2 linked regions of the Tamandua tetradactyla genome follow. The protein of the gene in region 1 binds, or shares a complex with, the protein of each later gene. Links are inferred from orthologs where the notes say so. Each region holds a gene or a part of one and is shown on either strand. Other genes may lie near its edges.

Region 1 (7,830 bases):
AAAACACTGCTATAGGTCGGGCCACAGTGGCTCAACAGGCAGAGTTCTCACCTGCCATGCCAGAGACCCAGGTTTGATTCCCGGTGCCTGCCCATGCAAAAAAAAAAAAAAGAAAGAAAAACACTGCTATATACCTGACAAACTGCAGCCACTGACCAAATGTTTACTGAATGAAAAATTTATTTGGAATTAAGGGTTATGTTTGAGTTCCAACTATGCTCTGTTCTAAGTAAGTCATGGGTCTCAGTCTTCGCATCTGTAACACAGGAATGATGATATCTACCACCAGCCCTTCTCAATCAGGGCTTCTCATATAAATCTCAAAACACAGAAAATTATTTGAGTAACTATTTTCTCAATTTTCCTAAGGATGGTACATAATTAGAAACACTGTAGATGCAGTCATTACATACAACGAATGTGAGAAAGTTCATGTAAAAGGGAACTATCACTCCAGAGCATAAATCACGCCCTGTGGAGTAGGTATATACAAAAATCCTAGGATAACATAAAAGTTGTAATCAGTAATTTTCATTAATTCTAATAAATTATTCTAAGGTCCTGAGCAATCACCTCCTTAAAAAAATCACACTGCTACAGAGATAAGGACTATTATACTATAGTATGATTAAAAAAAAAAAAAAAGGAGCACTTTGGAATGACCAGGGGAATTTGGACTCAATAACCATTTAAAAGGTGGGAAAAGCCTTCTCCTTCCCTAAAAGGGAATGCCAATACCTATATAATTGGGATATTTGACAGTCTAAATTATAACGACTTTATTGTACAATTAATATGTGCTAGATACATATCTGTTCTCCCTCATCTTCACAGCAGAGTAAGAACAGAAGCACTAAGATATCATTTCTTCCCTACAGTAACCACTCATGCAGACTGAAGTGAAGAAATAAGCTCTTCCCCTAAAATCCTTACCCATTCCTGCTTTATTATACACAAATCCAGTGTTTCTAGGCTGCAGTTAGTTCAAATTTGGAAAGATTTTTTTTCCCTAAGAAACTATGTAAGGGGGAGGACAAATCAGAATCTGCTGTCATTTAACCATCAATAATATTTTAGTGAGGCAGGCACTGTGGTCCCTCCAGAGCAATGAGCCTGGCATTATCTCTGCCCTCAAGGAGCCCAGACTTGTAAGGCGATACTACACTGGTAATTACAGTACCAAGCAATAAGTAGATAACTATAATAGAGTGCTATGAAACTCTTTAACAGAGTGCTATTAAAACTTCAGCCTCTCTGTGACACCAAAGGAAGAGATGTTTATTTGGTACAAATTTATATTTTCAGTAGCACACTATCTAATTTAACTTGTATGGTCAGCTTATTCAAACACCATAATTACAAGGAATCTTGAATAGGGAGTAAGACCTTCTTGGTTTGTACAGTTAGTGTGCTGTTAGATACATCCCAGAGTAATCTGGACAGAACATCTCCTTGAGGGATTGAGGGAAAAGGTGGAAATATTCAACTTCCCCACCCGGGGAAGACCTGATATTTTTGCAAGCACTGGGGACTGCCAATTTGATGGGCCAGGCTCTCAATCTTGGGCTTGCCTTTATGAAACTTATTCCTACAAAGGAGAAGCTAAGCCTACTTATGATTATGCCTAAGAGTCACCCACAGAAAACATCTTTCGTTGCTCAGATGTGGCCTCTCGCTCTCTCTAAATCGATTCTGCAGATGAACTCACTGCCCTCCCCACTACATGGGACATGACTCCCAAGGGTGTAAATCTCCCTGGTAATGTGGGAGATGACTCCAAGGGATGAGTCTGGCACTGGCATCAAGGTAGTGAGAATGTCTTCTTGACCAAAAGGGAGAAGAGAGATTAAACAAAAATAAACTTTCAGTAGCAGAGAGATTTCAAATAGAGCTGAGAGGTCATTCTGGAGGTTATTCTTATGCAATATGTAGCTTCGATTTTTGGTGTACTGGAGTAGCTAGAGGGAAATACCTAATACTGGTGAACTGTAATCCAATAGTCTTGATTCCTAAAGATGACTGTATAACTATAAAGCTTTTAAGATGTGACTGTGTGATTGTGAAAACCTTGTTACTGACAATCCCTTTATTCAGTATAGGAACAATTGAGTAAAAAAATAAGATAAAGAATAAATAAATAATGGGGGGAATGGGGATATGGGATATTTGGGGTATTCTTTTTTACTTTTATTTTCACTCTTATTTTTATTTTATTTTTTTTGAGTAATAAAAATGTTCAAAACTCGATTGTGATGATGAATGCACAGCTATATAATGATACTGTGAACCACTAATTGTACACTTTGGATGATTATATGGTATGTGAATATATATCTCACAATACTACCTTAAGAAAAAAACAAGATCTCCAAGTCATTGCTATACACACTCAAGTTTGAGAAGTAGTAACTAAGGATGATTTGCCATCAGCCTCTACTGAGAGGCATGTGAAGACACATGGAGAATCACTGAGGGCTCTCTTGCAGGGCCTCAGCCCCTCTGTTCTTAACTACAACAGAGGAAGGGATCACTCTCCCGTCTAAGGCAAAGCTATTCCAAGAACCGAGAGTTCCATTGTTATGAAGACTGTGATCCTCGCCTGCTTTCACCTGTGGGTCTAAACGAACTCCACAGACCCCTCTTCCAGTCCCTGAGAGCCTTGCAGATAGCCACATCGTCCCTGGATGACTTTTCTGGGAACGGGATTTGGGAGGGGCTATGTTACTAATTCGTCGCGTCCTCGAACCCTAAATGTCCACATCTGTAAAAAGAGGACGATATGTAACCTGAACTAGCAAGACTGTATGATAGAACAAAATGTCATAACAAATAAGGCAAGTTTAGTAAGCTGAAAAGCACTACTTATTTCTTCCTAAAAATTAAAAAAAAAAAGTATCAGACTACCCATATTGGTTTGCAATACTAATAGACAGTAGTAGAAAACACTAACAGACAGTAGTAAGAAACTAATACTTTCCGTAATGTGGGAGCTGATCATTCCCTCGGCACTCAACTCACGCTGTTGCCGTCTGTTTCGGCAAAGTGGCAGAGGCCGGGATGACTTTCCCGTTCCGGACCTGTGCGGCGACCTTTCCTAGGGGCGCTTACCTGAACCACTTTAGTGAATTCCTCGTACACTCGCTTCTTAAGGTGCGCCGCCATGATTGCCCACGGGGTCAGCTTGCGTAGTCCCTGCGGGAGGCGGGGTGAAGGAACACAGAAAACCTGCCAAGGCGGGAGGAACCCACCGCTATCCCACAAACCAACGGGGTTCCGGGAATAAGAGGCCGCTTCCTGCTACTCGGCTGCTCCGCCTCTGTGCATTCAGTTTTGGCTGCCTGTGCCTCTTGCGCCGGGCGAACGAAAACCACGGCGTAGCGCGGCGAGGGTGGGGCCTCTGGCGGAAGGTGGAGAAGTGTGGAGAAGCCACTTGGTGTTTCGCGGGTTTGATGCTGCTGTAGTAGTGGTGGGAGACTGGCGCCCAGCAGAGCAAAGAGAGGGAGGAAATAGAGACTAAAGAGAAAATGGCGAGGCGATCCTGAGCCAGAGGTAAAACTTGGAGCTGCGTAGGAATTTTAAATCGCAAAATAGCGGAAGAAGGCCTACCTGACATTCCCATCATCCTTTGCTGTTTGTGGCTTCCCCGAAGTCTTCCTTCGTTCAACCCGTGAGACACACCTGCCCTGTTCTGGAATACTTCTTCCTGCTTCCTCACTCCAGTTGTTCAAAACTGTCCAAATTTTAAGGAATCAATCCCACCTCTGATAGCTGCAATAGAGTGGGAAAAAAATCCCTGAGGCCAAGGCTTCACACCAGGACTTGATAAACAAGTGACCTCCGTGGTCTCAACGTTGCATAAATGCCCAATGCACTAATAATACCTACCCTAACAAAGATGTAGGGACAATAAAGTGAAATATGTGGAAACGTTCTGCAGATCGTGAAATGGAGTTCACGTTTAATAATGTTAATTCAAGGTCAAGCTTTGCATCCTACATGAAAAGTTAGCTGTTCATTGTTCTTCAAAAAAGAATTAATGTAAGATAATTAGAAAAAAGTAGAACACTGTGGTAGAGAGGACCCAAAAGTGCATAAAAGATACTCTTTATCCTCAAAGACTGTTAAGGGAGAAAGATATTCAAATTGATCATTACAGTGCAAGGGAAGTGTACTAGTTTAAAAGCTGCCAGAATGCAGCAATATACCTAAAATGGAACGACTTTTTAAAAGGGGAATTTTTTCAGTTGCAAGTTTGCAGTAAAAATGTCCAATCTAAGGCATCCATGGAAAGATACCTTGGTTCAAGAGGGCCAATGAAGTTCCGGGTTTCTCTCTCAATTGGAAAGGCACATGGTGAACATGGCAAAGTCTGCTAGCATTCTCTCCAAGCTTTTTGTTTCATGAAGTGCCCCTAGGGGCATTTTCCTTCTTCATCTCTAAAGGTCTCTGGCTGCCTGGGTTCTAAAGCTTTTTTCCAAAATGGTTCCCTTTTAAAGGGCTGTAGTAAGCAAACCCCACCTTGAATGCGTGGAGACACATCACCATGGAAACCATCTAATCAAAGTTACTACCCACAAATGGGTGGGTATTATCTCCACGGATAATCAATAAGCTCTGACCCAGCAATACTGAATGAGGATTAAAGAACTTGGCTTTTCTGGGGTACGGTTGAACAGATTCAAACTGGCACAGGAAGCGTGCTGGGTAATAGAGGAATGTGGCTCAAAAATGGACTTCCTCATGGTACCCCCACAAGGAGATTGTTTTAAATCTGTCTGTAAATGATTTAGTTTTCCAGTGAGAAAGACATCCAAACAGCAAAGACAGACTGTAGCAAATACAAAAGCATCAAGTGAAATGAAAAGCAGTTAGGAAAATTTCCCTCAATAAATGTTAGCTGCTATTATCATTGTCATTACCATGCTCAATCATATTTAAGCTGCTGGCAAATATAAAACAATTATTTTATGTAATGCAATAAGAAAAAATGCTGAAATTAAAATCAAGAGTTTCTTCAGAAAAAGAATGAGGGCCTTTAATCCTATATAGCTTAATGTAATGCCTGACTACATCCCAGAGGATGTTAAGCAGATAATCAAAAAAGTATTGGCAAAGTCCTTGAGGAATGGGAGGAAAAATATGGAACTATTAAACTTTACCACCAGGGAAACCCCTGATACTGTATGAAAAATTAGGGACACCCAAATCAGTAGGCTATACCTTTGGTCTTGAGGCTTACTCTTATGAAGCTTCTATATATAGCAGAGAAGCTAGCCTACCTATAGGTATGCCTAAGAGTTATTCCTGGAGGACTTCTTTTGTTGCTCAGATGTGGCCTCACTCTCTCTAAGCCCAACAGTGCAAGTGAAATCATTGCCCTCCCCACCTAGACAGGACATGACATCCAGGGATGAAAGCTTCCCTGATGGCCTGGGATCAACAATACCATCCTGACTAAAAGGGGGAAAAGTGTAACAAATAAGGTATAAGTGGCTGAGAGAGTTCAAATAGAGTAGAGAGGCTACTCTGAAGGTTGCTCATACGCAAGCTTCGGTTAGACATTGCTACCTACCATAACTTGCCAACCCCCAACCAAACCATTCCTGCCAATCCTAAAGAATGCCTAGGGCACCATATAAATTCTACAAAGCTTCCATGCCCTACAGTAACTTTCCAAAAACCTAAAATTTTCAGATGGGTCCCCGAACCAGATAAGCACTGAAATGCAGAGGGGCCAGCTTCTCCAGAGCATCAACTAGTTCCATCCCCCTATCCCATATTATTGACAGCCACTTCTAACAAGAGAAAGTTAGAATGGGCAATAGGCCAAATAACCCTAAAGAGTGGAAGAAAGGTCAAAGGTGATGGTAGAGTTATATAAAGAAGGTAGGATTTATCAAACCAGTATGATTGCTGAATTATATTTCTTTTAGTCTCCAATATCTTAGAACACCTAGAAGTTAACAACTTAAAACTGTAACCCGTACCAAACTCTGAAATCTGTTCTACAACTAATTGTTGTGATGTGCTTTGAAATTTATTGTTTTGTCTATATGTTATTTTTCACACTCACAAAATATACATATATGTATGTATATATATATATATATTTCTCCTAGCCTCCAGTGTTTTGGAGCAACTAGAAGGAAAAGTCTGTAATAGTGAAATGGCGACCCATAATAAACTCTGAAATCTCTTCTGTAACTACTTGTTGAAGTGTACTTTGAAAATCACTTCAGAGAACAGCTCCTGGGGCCACGTCAGTGACCGGACACACAGCATACCCCAGTCTGGACCAGCTGGACTGGCTGCAAGACCCCCAGAACCGTGAGTTCGCCAAGCCACAGCGGCTGGCGACCCACCCCCACAGGCTGCTTCCCAGAGGGGAAAGGAAAGAGACTTTACCAGCAGCAGAGGCTGAGCCCAACCAAACACCAATTGTGGAATTAATTAACAAATTCTGACTACTAAAAATAGGCTCCCAGCTCCAGTGAACCTGGTCAAAGCAGAGGTCACTCATTTTTGCCCCAGCACCAAGGGGGCAGGGCTGACGGAAAAAGCAAAAAAAAAAAAGGAAGGAAACAGAGGTTTTTGTGGCTGTGTCTCTATGGAGGCTTGGCTGCCTTTGGATACAGCGGCAGGGCTTCTCAGGCTGCAACTGCCCCAGGCATAGGCAGAAACAAGCTCATTTGAGGGCTTGTCTGAAGACTGTATCTTCCCCAGGGGAGGGGTGAAGCCCAACTCAGGTGGAATCCCTCCCTCAAGGAATTTAGATACCAGGGCTTGTTAATTTGAAGCCATTAAAACCAGCCTACAACCCCTCCTCTGTCTCTACCACTCCGCCAGCAGGGAGAGTCTGCCAAAGTTAAAGGTACAGCATCATCTTACGTTGGTGGGATCTGCAGGTAGACCGGTGCCACATACTGGGCAGTATAAGAAAAACAGAGTCCAGAGACTTCACAGGAAAATCTTTGAACCTGCTGGGTCTCACCCTCAGGGAAAACCGACACAGATGAGTCTTCCCTCCTGATAGGAGGCCAGTTTGGTTTGGGAAAATCCGGCTGGGGTCTATAATACCTAAGTTTCCTTCCTAAGTGTGGGGGGAAAAAGGCACCATACAAGCAGGGCAAGAATCAAGAAAACAAGAACTGAAAAATTCTCCTCTGTTAAACAAAACTTAAGCTAGAGGTCCAGATTAAGCTGAACTGAATGTCAAAGAACAGATAGACAACAAATTCATCCAGCAAGAAAATCCTAGGTAAAAGAAGTGAAAGCAATCTCCAGAATAAACTAATTAAGGTAATTAAATGCCTAGACACCAGCAAAAAATAACAAATTACACTAGGAAAATTGAAGATATGGCCCAGTCAAAGGAACAAACCAACAATTCAAATGACATACAGGAGCTGAAACAATTAATTCAGAATATACAAACAGACATGGAAAACCTCATCAAAAACCAAATCAGTGAATTGAGGGAGGATATAAAGAAGGCAAGGAATGAACAAAAAGAAGAAATTGAAAGATTGAAAATCATTTCATTTCCTTTCTTTTCTTTGTATATATGTTATATTAAACAATAAAAAGTTTTTAAAAATCAAGGGTTTCGGGTAGGCCACAATGGCTCAGCAGGCAGAATTCTCACCTGCCGTGCTGGAGAACCAGGTTTGATTCCTGGTGCCTGCCCATGCAAAAAAAAAAAAAAATCAAATGTTTTTTATTACTTAGATTTATAAACACTCACTGAAAGGGCTCTATTAAACTTACTTACATAGATTTACATCATATGTTATTCTGCTGTGTTTCCAAGCCTTTTGCTCCAATGCCAAA
Region 2 (7,479 bases), on another chromosome or scaffold:
TTTGACCTTAAACTTTCTGCAAGCTTTAAAGTGTTCTTCCATGGAAAATGACAACTGGGAAAAGGAAAACATACATTTAAGTTATAAATGCCCACAACTTCTCCACAACAATCAGGATTCCTAAGAAAGCAACTAAACAATATTCTTAATAGCTAGTATTGGTGAACTTTTCCACTTAAGGATTGTGATGGTGGAAAACAGGAAATTAATAGTTCTGCTACATACTAACCAAAAAATAAGGATAACCAAACAATGGAAAGTTTCACATTTTTCTTTGATTTCAAAAATAAAGTTTCAACTATAATGTAAGCATAAGATACCTCACCTTTACAAATAGCAAAGGAAAGAAACCCATTATTTTATAGAAACAAACTAAAAAGTTCATGGCATGGCAAATCTGCCTAAATTACTGAAAGGTGTGAAATGAAGGGGGGTGGAATAAAACTATAATGTGGTAAGAAAATACACATATACTTAAATGACCTGCAATTTGGTAAAAGCAGAAGTGACTGCATTGCAATGCACACTTTAAAGGTCACTGAACTAAAATCAGCCATTTGCAAAGGTCCTTAAACACTCAAGTTATCAGTATTAAGTAAAACAAACATTTCTAAAAGAAAGGAACAGTTCAAAGTTGCAGTCACAGAAAGAATTTCCCTGTGATACTTATGAAATCTGTGGCTCATGGAACGTGGGAAAAGATCAGATGTAATGTATAACTAAATGTATCATTGTGGTAATAGTGCTTTACACTACATCATAAGTCCTTGGGTTTAATATTCCTTTCTTATGTGCAACATCACACATTCTTCAGTATCTTTTATTTTCCAGGCCAGCAATCTCATATAAGAGTTATAAAGGACCACCTAGATTATTTCATAGTGAATCATCAAATGATTTAAGGCTCTGTGGGAAACCTTATGTCATCCTCAAATGAAGAAATGCAGGTACAACAGACGGACTTGTGGGGGGGGTTAAGATAGGGTTCCTTTCATATTTTTTCAGACAGCCTCTTTTCCAAGGGTTTGGAGTTTTGAAAAAAAAAACACCACCACCCCCAAAGAAAAACACCTCTAGACCTGCCATTTAATTCAGAATCCCCCTGCAATAGTCACTAATGGTGTATCCTTCAAAAGCTGAGAAATCTTAATGTGCCAAACCAGTCATTGTACCTCAATGAGAACCCTTTCAGAATTGCTATGTCAGAGGATTAAATTAAACCCTTTTGCATTTCCTCTAACATTTTTACTAATATAGAAATAAATAGCACTACTCCACAACCACTAAGGGTTGCCCATCTGCCTGTGGTAGGGTATCAATGCAACGGGGTAAGACCAGACAGGTTTCTTCTTTTATGAACTTCAAGGGATTAAGACCAAATTCATAACACGTAACTTACAGAAAAAATCAGATTCTAATTCTGAATACAAATGCACTGTTAGAACAAAAAAAAAGAGGGCTACAAAACCGTGAACAGTAAGGTGAGAGTTTCACCTTTGTAGTACGTGTTACTATATGTTTTAAACTTACTTCAGCTTAAGTTTTCACCTAAAATGTTTCATACTTCTATTTCAGGTCATATGGATTTTGGAGTGGAATGTGTTTTCCCACAGCATGAAAAAATCAACTATTTTTCCACCTTAATATTCAACCTACCTGCCCATAGTTGTCTATGCCAGTTACTAATCTATTTAAATTTAACAAATCAAAAGCTGTTCTTAGGGACTGGCCAAGAGTCGTAAGTCCTTCAGCCTGAAGGTTTTTCAGTTCATTCATAAACGTTGCATGGTTCTCTTTCCATCCAGCCTGAAAAGAAAAATTTAAGAATATTTTTTCGTCTTGGGGACAGCCATTATAATCTGATGTTCACCAAGTGGCCTCTTTTTCTTGACAGTATGGTCTGGTTAACTTGTTTTATATACTGTATCCCAACTGGGGAAACTCTCCTCCAAAGGTGGCCAAGAACAGGAGCCGCTTGCTCCCGGGGTGGGGTGGCCAGCTGCCTCCGCACTCTGTCACTTGGCTGGGAAGTAGACTACCTGATCTAACACCCCAAGGCGCGGGGTGCGAAGGTTCTGGAGGGAAGAGGACCCTCGCCGGCTGACCTCGAGCTGCCCGGCGGCCCGGGCCAGGCTAGGGCCCTCCGGGGGCGGCTCTGCAGCCCCCCGTCCCGCAGGCGCCCCCGGCTGGAGCCTGACCCGTGCCGACCGCCGCCTGGACGCCTGGGCTCCCGGCCGGGGCCAGCGGGGCGCGGCGGGCCGCTGTCACCCGGGCCGCTGGGAAGAATATCCCCCACAGTTCATTGCTGCCGCCGCGCCGCGGAGGGGAAATGTCGGCCATGTTGAGCGCAGCGCCGCGGGCCGCGCCGGGGAGGGGGCGGCGGTGGCGGGCGGCTCGGCGCCGCGCCGCGCGACCCGAGGCGGGGGAGGGGGCCCGCGGGGGAGTCGCCCGGAGACCCGCGGGTGGGGGAGGGGCGCGAGGACAGCGAGGGGGGAGCGGGGAGGGCGCGGAGCCGACACCAAGAGGGGGGGGAGGCCGAGGGCTGTTACCTTGATGGCATAGGGCGGCTCTTCGAAAGTGACCAGCATGTACCTGTCTCCGCGGCTGGCGGGGTCCCGGGCGCGGAGCTGCGGGAGAGCGGGAGGGAAGCACGCAGGCCAGGGTCCCCGCGCCGCATCCCCCCACCACCTCCCCAGTACCGCACACGCAGCACCCCCCCACGCCGCCCCCACACCCCAAGGGCCCCGCACCCCGCCCGCGGCCGAGCCCCGCTCGCAGCGCCCGCCGCCCGCCCGCCCGCGCGGTGGGGGAGGGGCCCCGCGGCTCCCGCAGCCGGGTCCCCGGCCCCGCGGCCCGTCGCCCCCACCGCCCCCACCGCCCTGCCCCCCGCGGGCCGCCGGGCCGGGATCGCCGCCCGGGCTCGCTCCGTCGGTACCTTCATGAAGGTCTCTACCGCGCCTTTGGCCGTGTCCAGGTAGGTGGTGCCCAGATGGCTGCGCTGGTTCATAGAGGCAGACGTGTCTATCAGGAACAGTAAGATGGGCATAGTGCTGGCCGGGGACACCGCGGCCGGCCGAGGCAGAGATGGCAGCGGCGGAGGCGCCGGGGGCGGCGGCGGCGCGCGGCCCCCGGGAGGAAAACACCGTCTGGGTCTTCCCTCCGGCTGCGGGGAGTTTCTCCCCCGATAGTTGAGAGGAAACTCCCCAGACCCAATCGTCCCCGTCCACCCCCGCCTCCGCCTCCGCCCGCCTGCCTGCCTGCCCGCTGGGCCGGGCGCCCGGCCGTCTGTCTGTCGGTCCGTACCCCCCCGCCTTGGGGGTCCCGTCCCCGCTCCCGGCCCCTGTGTGTGTCCCAGCGGGAGACGGGCCCGACTCCCCACCCCACCCCCGGTTGCAGGGAGTGGGGACCTGGGAGCTGGCGGAGAGGGGAGTGGGCTGAGGGGAGATTGGCCCTGGGGCTGTTGGGAGAAGTTTCAGGGACTCCCTCCGCACCCCAGCGGTATCACCACTTTCTCAGCCCCTCTCGCTACTGAAGCGCTTTTCTCTCGCACACTCCGGTTTTAACTCGGGCAGGGGCTGCAGAGGCTCCGCCCCCCGGACACGTCCCCTGGCCACGTGACGCGCCGCCCCGCCCTCGTATTGGCTAGCCCCTAGACTCTCATTAGCATATTCAAACAGCTCAGGGGCGGGGGAAGCTTGGAGGCCAGCTTTGGGGACGGTTACTGAGCACGCGCGGAGGCGGGGCGTCGGGGGCGCGCGAGCGCGAGCGCGAGGGGCGGGCGGGCGGGCCTGCCGGCGCGGAGGCGGGCTCCGGGAAGGGGCGGGGCCGGGCCGCGGAAGGGCCGCGGCGTGGGGGAGGGGCGGGCGCGCTTTGCGCCTGCGCGTCAGGGCCTCCGGCCTCTTCTGGGCTGGTGGAGGTGATCGGGGTCGGGGGGAGGGGGAGGGAGCCTGGCCTCGGCCTCTTCTGGAGGTCTCTGTGGCGCACCCCTACCCGGTGGGCGAGTGCTGAAGGGACGAGCAAAGTGCACGCGGGTCACTGTGCAGCGAGAGGCGGTGCACTGGGCGCGGGGCGTGGGGGGCGGCCCCGGCGCGGGCGGGTCCGGGAGGGGGAGGAGGGGTTGTTTATGACCAGGGACTAGCCACCTCGCTAGGGAGTGCGGACCCAGGGCCAGGCCTGCAGGGGAGCCGCCGAGGCTGGGGCCGGGGCAGGCCGGGTGCCCTCCGCGGGGGGCCAGAAGGAAAAGACCACCGAAGGGCATGGGGGAAGATAAAAATATCCGTCAGCCGCTTGCTGCCTTTTTACTCTGGGGGCAAGATTGACTGGGCCTAGCGGAAGAAATGCCTTTCTCACGTCGAGTTTACAAGGGGCCTTAGGATATCCAGCCTTGAGAGCTGAAAGGGCCCTCGGTGGCCATGACCCATTACCTTTCCTTTCCAAGTGGAAAACTGACTTCACCTTGCCCAGGCAGCCGAGAATGCACCGAGTGGATCCTGATCACCCTTCCCCAGCTCTTTCCTCCCACTACGTGCTACCTTTCAGACTATTAAAACAAGCCCCTGTCGTTTCACCTGGAGTAATGTGTCCTCAATTTACTGCAGTGGAAGAACTGGCCACATTGCCTTAGATACAGGTAGAATTAGGAGCACAGGGCTCTTATAAGCCTTTGTCGTTATTTATAGAAACTTTCCTACTCATGTTAAATGTGATTTTTTTTTTAATATTCTGAGATTCTTGATATTTGCCTATCGGTCATTTAGAGAAATTGTCCCAATTAATGTCAGCAGAGAAGAGATACTTTGTGTCACATTTTAAAAATCTGTGAGTTTCACAACTTGGAATTTTCCTAGTATTTAAGATATGCTCTGAAACTTTGTGCTAATTTGTAGTAGGACTATTTCAGTAGATAGGGTGTTTTGTGAGTACCTCCCATAGAAGTGTGATATTTGTAAGGAATTTGGACTATGAAGTAGAAAGGGTATGGAATACAGGTCTTTAAGCAGTTTGTTCAGCCACTTTGCTGAAGACCTACTGTGAGCTAGGTATGATGGAGAGTGAAAAAAAGAGGAATGAAGCACGGGGGCCCTCCCTTCAGAGTTTAAGGTTTTCTAGGAAAATATGACATACACATTAAAAACTATTACTAAACCCAAATGATAAGTGTGGTATAAACAGCTCTGCAAATCGCAGGAAAGCTAAGTGCAATCAGCCAAACCCAAAACAGGTAACCAGAACCTATGCCAGAAATGGAGCCTGAAACCAAAGGCCAGTGTTTGGTCCAGAAGCAATGTCCAGAAAGGTCGGGGTGGGGGGGGGGGGGGGGGGGGGGCGGGAGAAAAAGGAAGAAATCCGAACAAGCATAGGTAGCAAATCAAGAGGCAATCAGAAGCCAGGAAGCATTGACTGGCAGACCCTAGACAAAATTATGAAATAGGTCAAGTTTATTCTTAGTGACTCATTTGGTTGACAGTTAAAGCACAGGTTGACAATGGTTTAAAGCAATGATTCTTAGCCAGGAAATGCACATCAGCCTCACATATAGAGCTTAAAGTAATGACAATAAATATACCAGCTTGCCATCCCCAGAGGAAAGTGATTGATAGAGTAGAACTGGAATGGGCCCTGGTCGTCCACATTTTGAAAAACTCTTCATGTGAATCTTATAAATAATAGTGATTGAGAACTGCATGCTTAAAGTATAAAAAGTATGTGTCTGACATCTAGTAGGTACAAATAACTAAAACATTCAAACACCCTTAGATTTATTGCATTTTTGCAAGGACTCCTAAAATAAACAACCCTGCCAGCTAAAGGGAAGACTATGAATGTGGTCACCAATATATTTAACACAATATATTTAATATATTTTTGGCAGAGGCTTATTTAATTTTTTTTTAATTCAACTATATATATTTTGGCAAAAAATAAAGAGAAAAGTCATTTAAGCCGTGCCAGAGATCCCCACTGTCTCCTTCAGTGAGCATAGGTCCTGGAGTGAGCATGAGATGGGAGCCATGAGGCTACCTGTGATTCTAACATGTGGTTATAGAAAGATAATGCAAGATTGTTTTTCTAAAATGTGGCCCCTGAATTCAAGCCAATTATTTCACCTGAGATTCAACTGAAGAACCAGCATTTTAGTGCTAGAGGAAGAACCAGTTAGGAGTCTCTGTGCCCAGTCCTGTTTCCTGTTGTGGTTAGAAGATCAAGGAAAATGTTCCTGAGAAAGCACTGGTCAGAAGAGATATGGTGGAGAAAAAGTGCTCTCTGCTACTGTTTTTAAAGGAGTGTTGTTCAAATGCTCTGGCCCCAGTTTAAAAGGGAGCGAATAAATTGTACAGGAACTGCTGAAATAATGGTGACTCTGGGCCAGACAACGGCTTAAATGGTTGAAATGGAGCTATTCTAACAGAATTAAGAACTGATGAATTAGATACATTTGTAGGAGCCAACCAGAGCTCTTTTAAATTATTTTAAACCAATTAAGCAGGGTAACACGGTTTAAAAATAATTATGTGCCAATGACTCGGTTTCTGGTATCTGGGCATGACATCTGAACATAATAATCAGATGAACCTAGTGTTCCTCAATATGTAACCTAACCAAGTCTCTTCTGGCTAGCACACCAATGCTGTGGCTTCTGTCTTCTAACCTGTGTGAGATGACCTTAGTCAATGATGTTTAAAGATTGAGAACATCAAAGAAACATATAGAAGTGATAAGCATAAACAATTAGATGTGAAACTACATCCAGTGTAGTCAGGTAATACATACATAAGGAAATTTTATTTTGGTAATCCCAATATTACATACTATCAGTCCTCAGAAAAATGCTGCTAAGGACTACTATTAAAAAGAAATTCCAAGGAGCAGTGTTTCACAGTAAGAGTTGAAGTCTCAGATCATTCAAAATCAGCCCTGTAAATAAACATACTCAGATTGAGAAGGGAGTCACAGGGGAACTGTTTTTCTAGCAAAAGAACAGGAAATTGCAGTCAGTCTTTCAGCTATTGTTAATTGCATACCTGATATGTGACGGGCACTGTGCTAGACCCGCAGAGAACTTATGACCTAAAGGGAAAGAACAAAGACCAATAAACAAGAAATGAGAATAAATAGTATGGGATTCAGCAGACTCCAGGCATGATATAATAATGCCTGCCATACAGGGTTGTTTTGAAAATTCAAGGTAACATCCATATTTCATCAATTCTAATACACTATCACCACTATTTTGGGGCCATTAACAGAGACAAAAAATGCTGCTAATTAAACTATGATACAATGCTTTCTTGTCACTTAGAATTTTTCCACACTCTATTGAACTCCATCGACACGAGTGTTAGAGATACAGCATTTTTTTAAAAAAATGCTCCTCTGTTTTCTCTGGTGTTTTCTTCCAAACTATTGGCACCCATTCTATGAGTTTGATGCTGGTGCTTTCTTGATCCACCTTAGTGTCAGTAGCATGTTACCAAAGCA

The links.
Region 2: INTS4 (region 1) and INTS6 share a complex: the UniProt entries of both Homo sapiens proteins name them as parts of the integrator complex. The link is inferred for Tamandua tetradactyla from reciprocal best matches to the Homo sapiens genes INTS4 and INTS6.

Annotation. Positions count from the first base shown.
Region 1 is NC_135334.1:66,679,120-66,686,949, reverse strand, and holds the start of INTS4 (integrator complex subunit 4), read right to left. Parts: upstream 3,263-7,830; 5' UTR 3,163-3,262; coding exon 3,109-3,162; intron 1-3,108. UniProt on the Homo sapiens protein: Component of the integrator complex, a multiprotein complex that terminates RNA polymerase II (Pol II) transcription in the promoter-proximal region of genes.
Region 2 is NC_135330.1:104,750,172-104,757,650, forward strand, and holds the start of INTS6 (integrator complex subunit 6), read right to left. Parts: upstream 3,122-7,479; 5' UTR 3,047-3,121; coding exon 2,936-3,046; exon of another isoform or gene 2,864-2,935; intron 2,628-2,863; coding exon 2,550-2,627; intron 1,807-2,549; coding exon 1,657-1,806; intron 1-1,656. UniProt on the Homo sapiens protein: Component of the integrator complex, a multiprotein complex that terminates RNA polymerase II (Pol II) transcription in the promoter-proximal region of genes.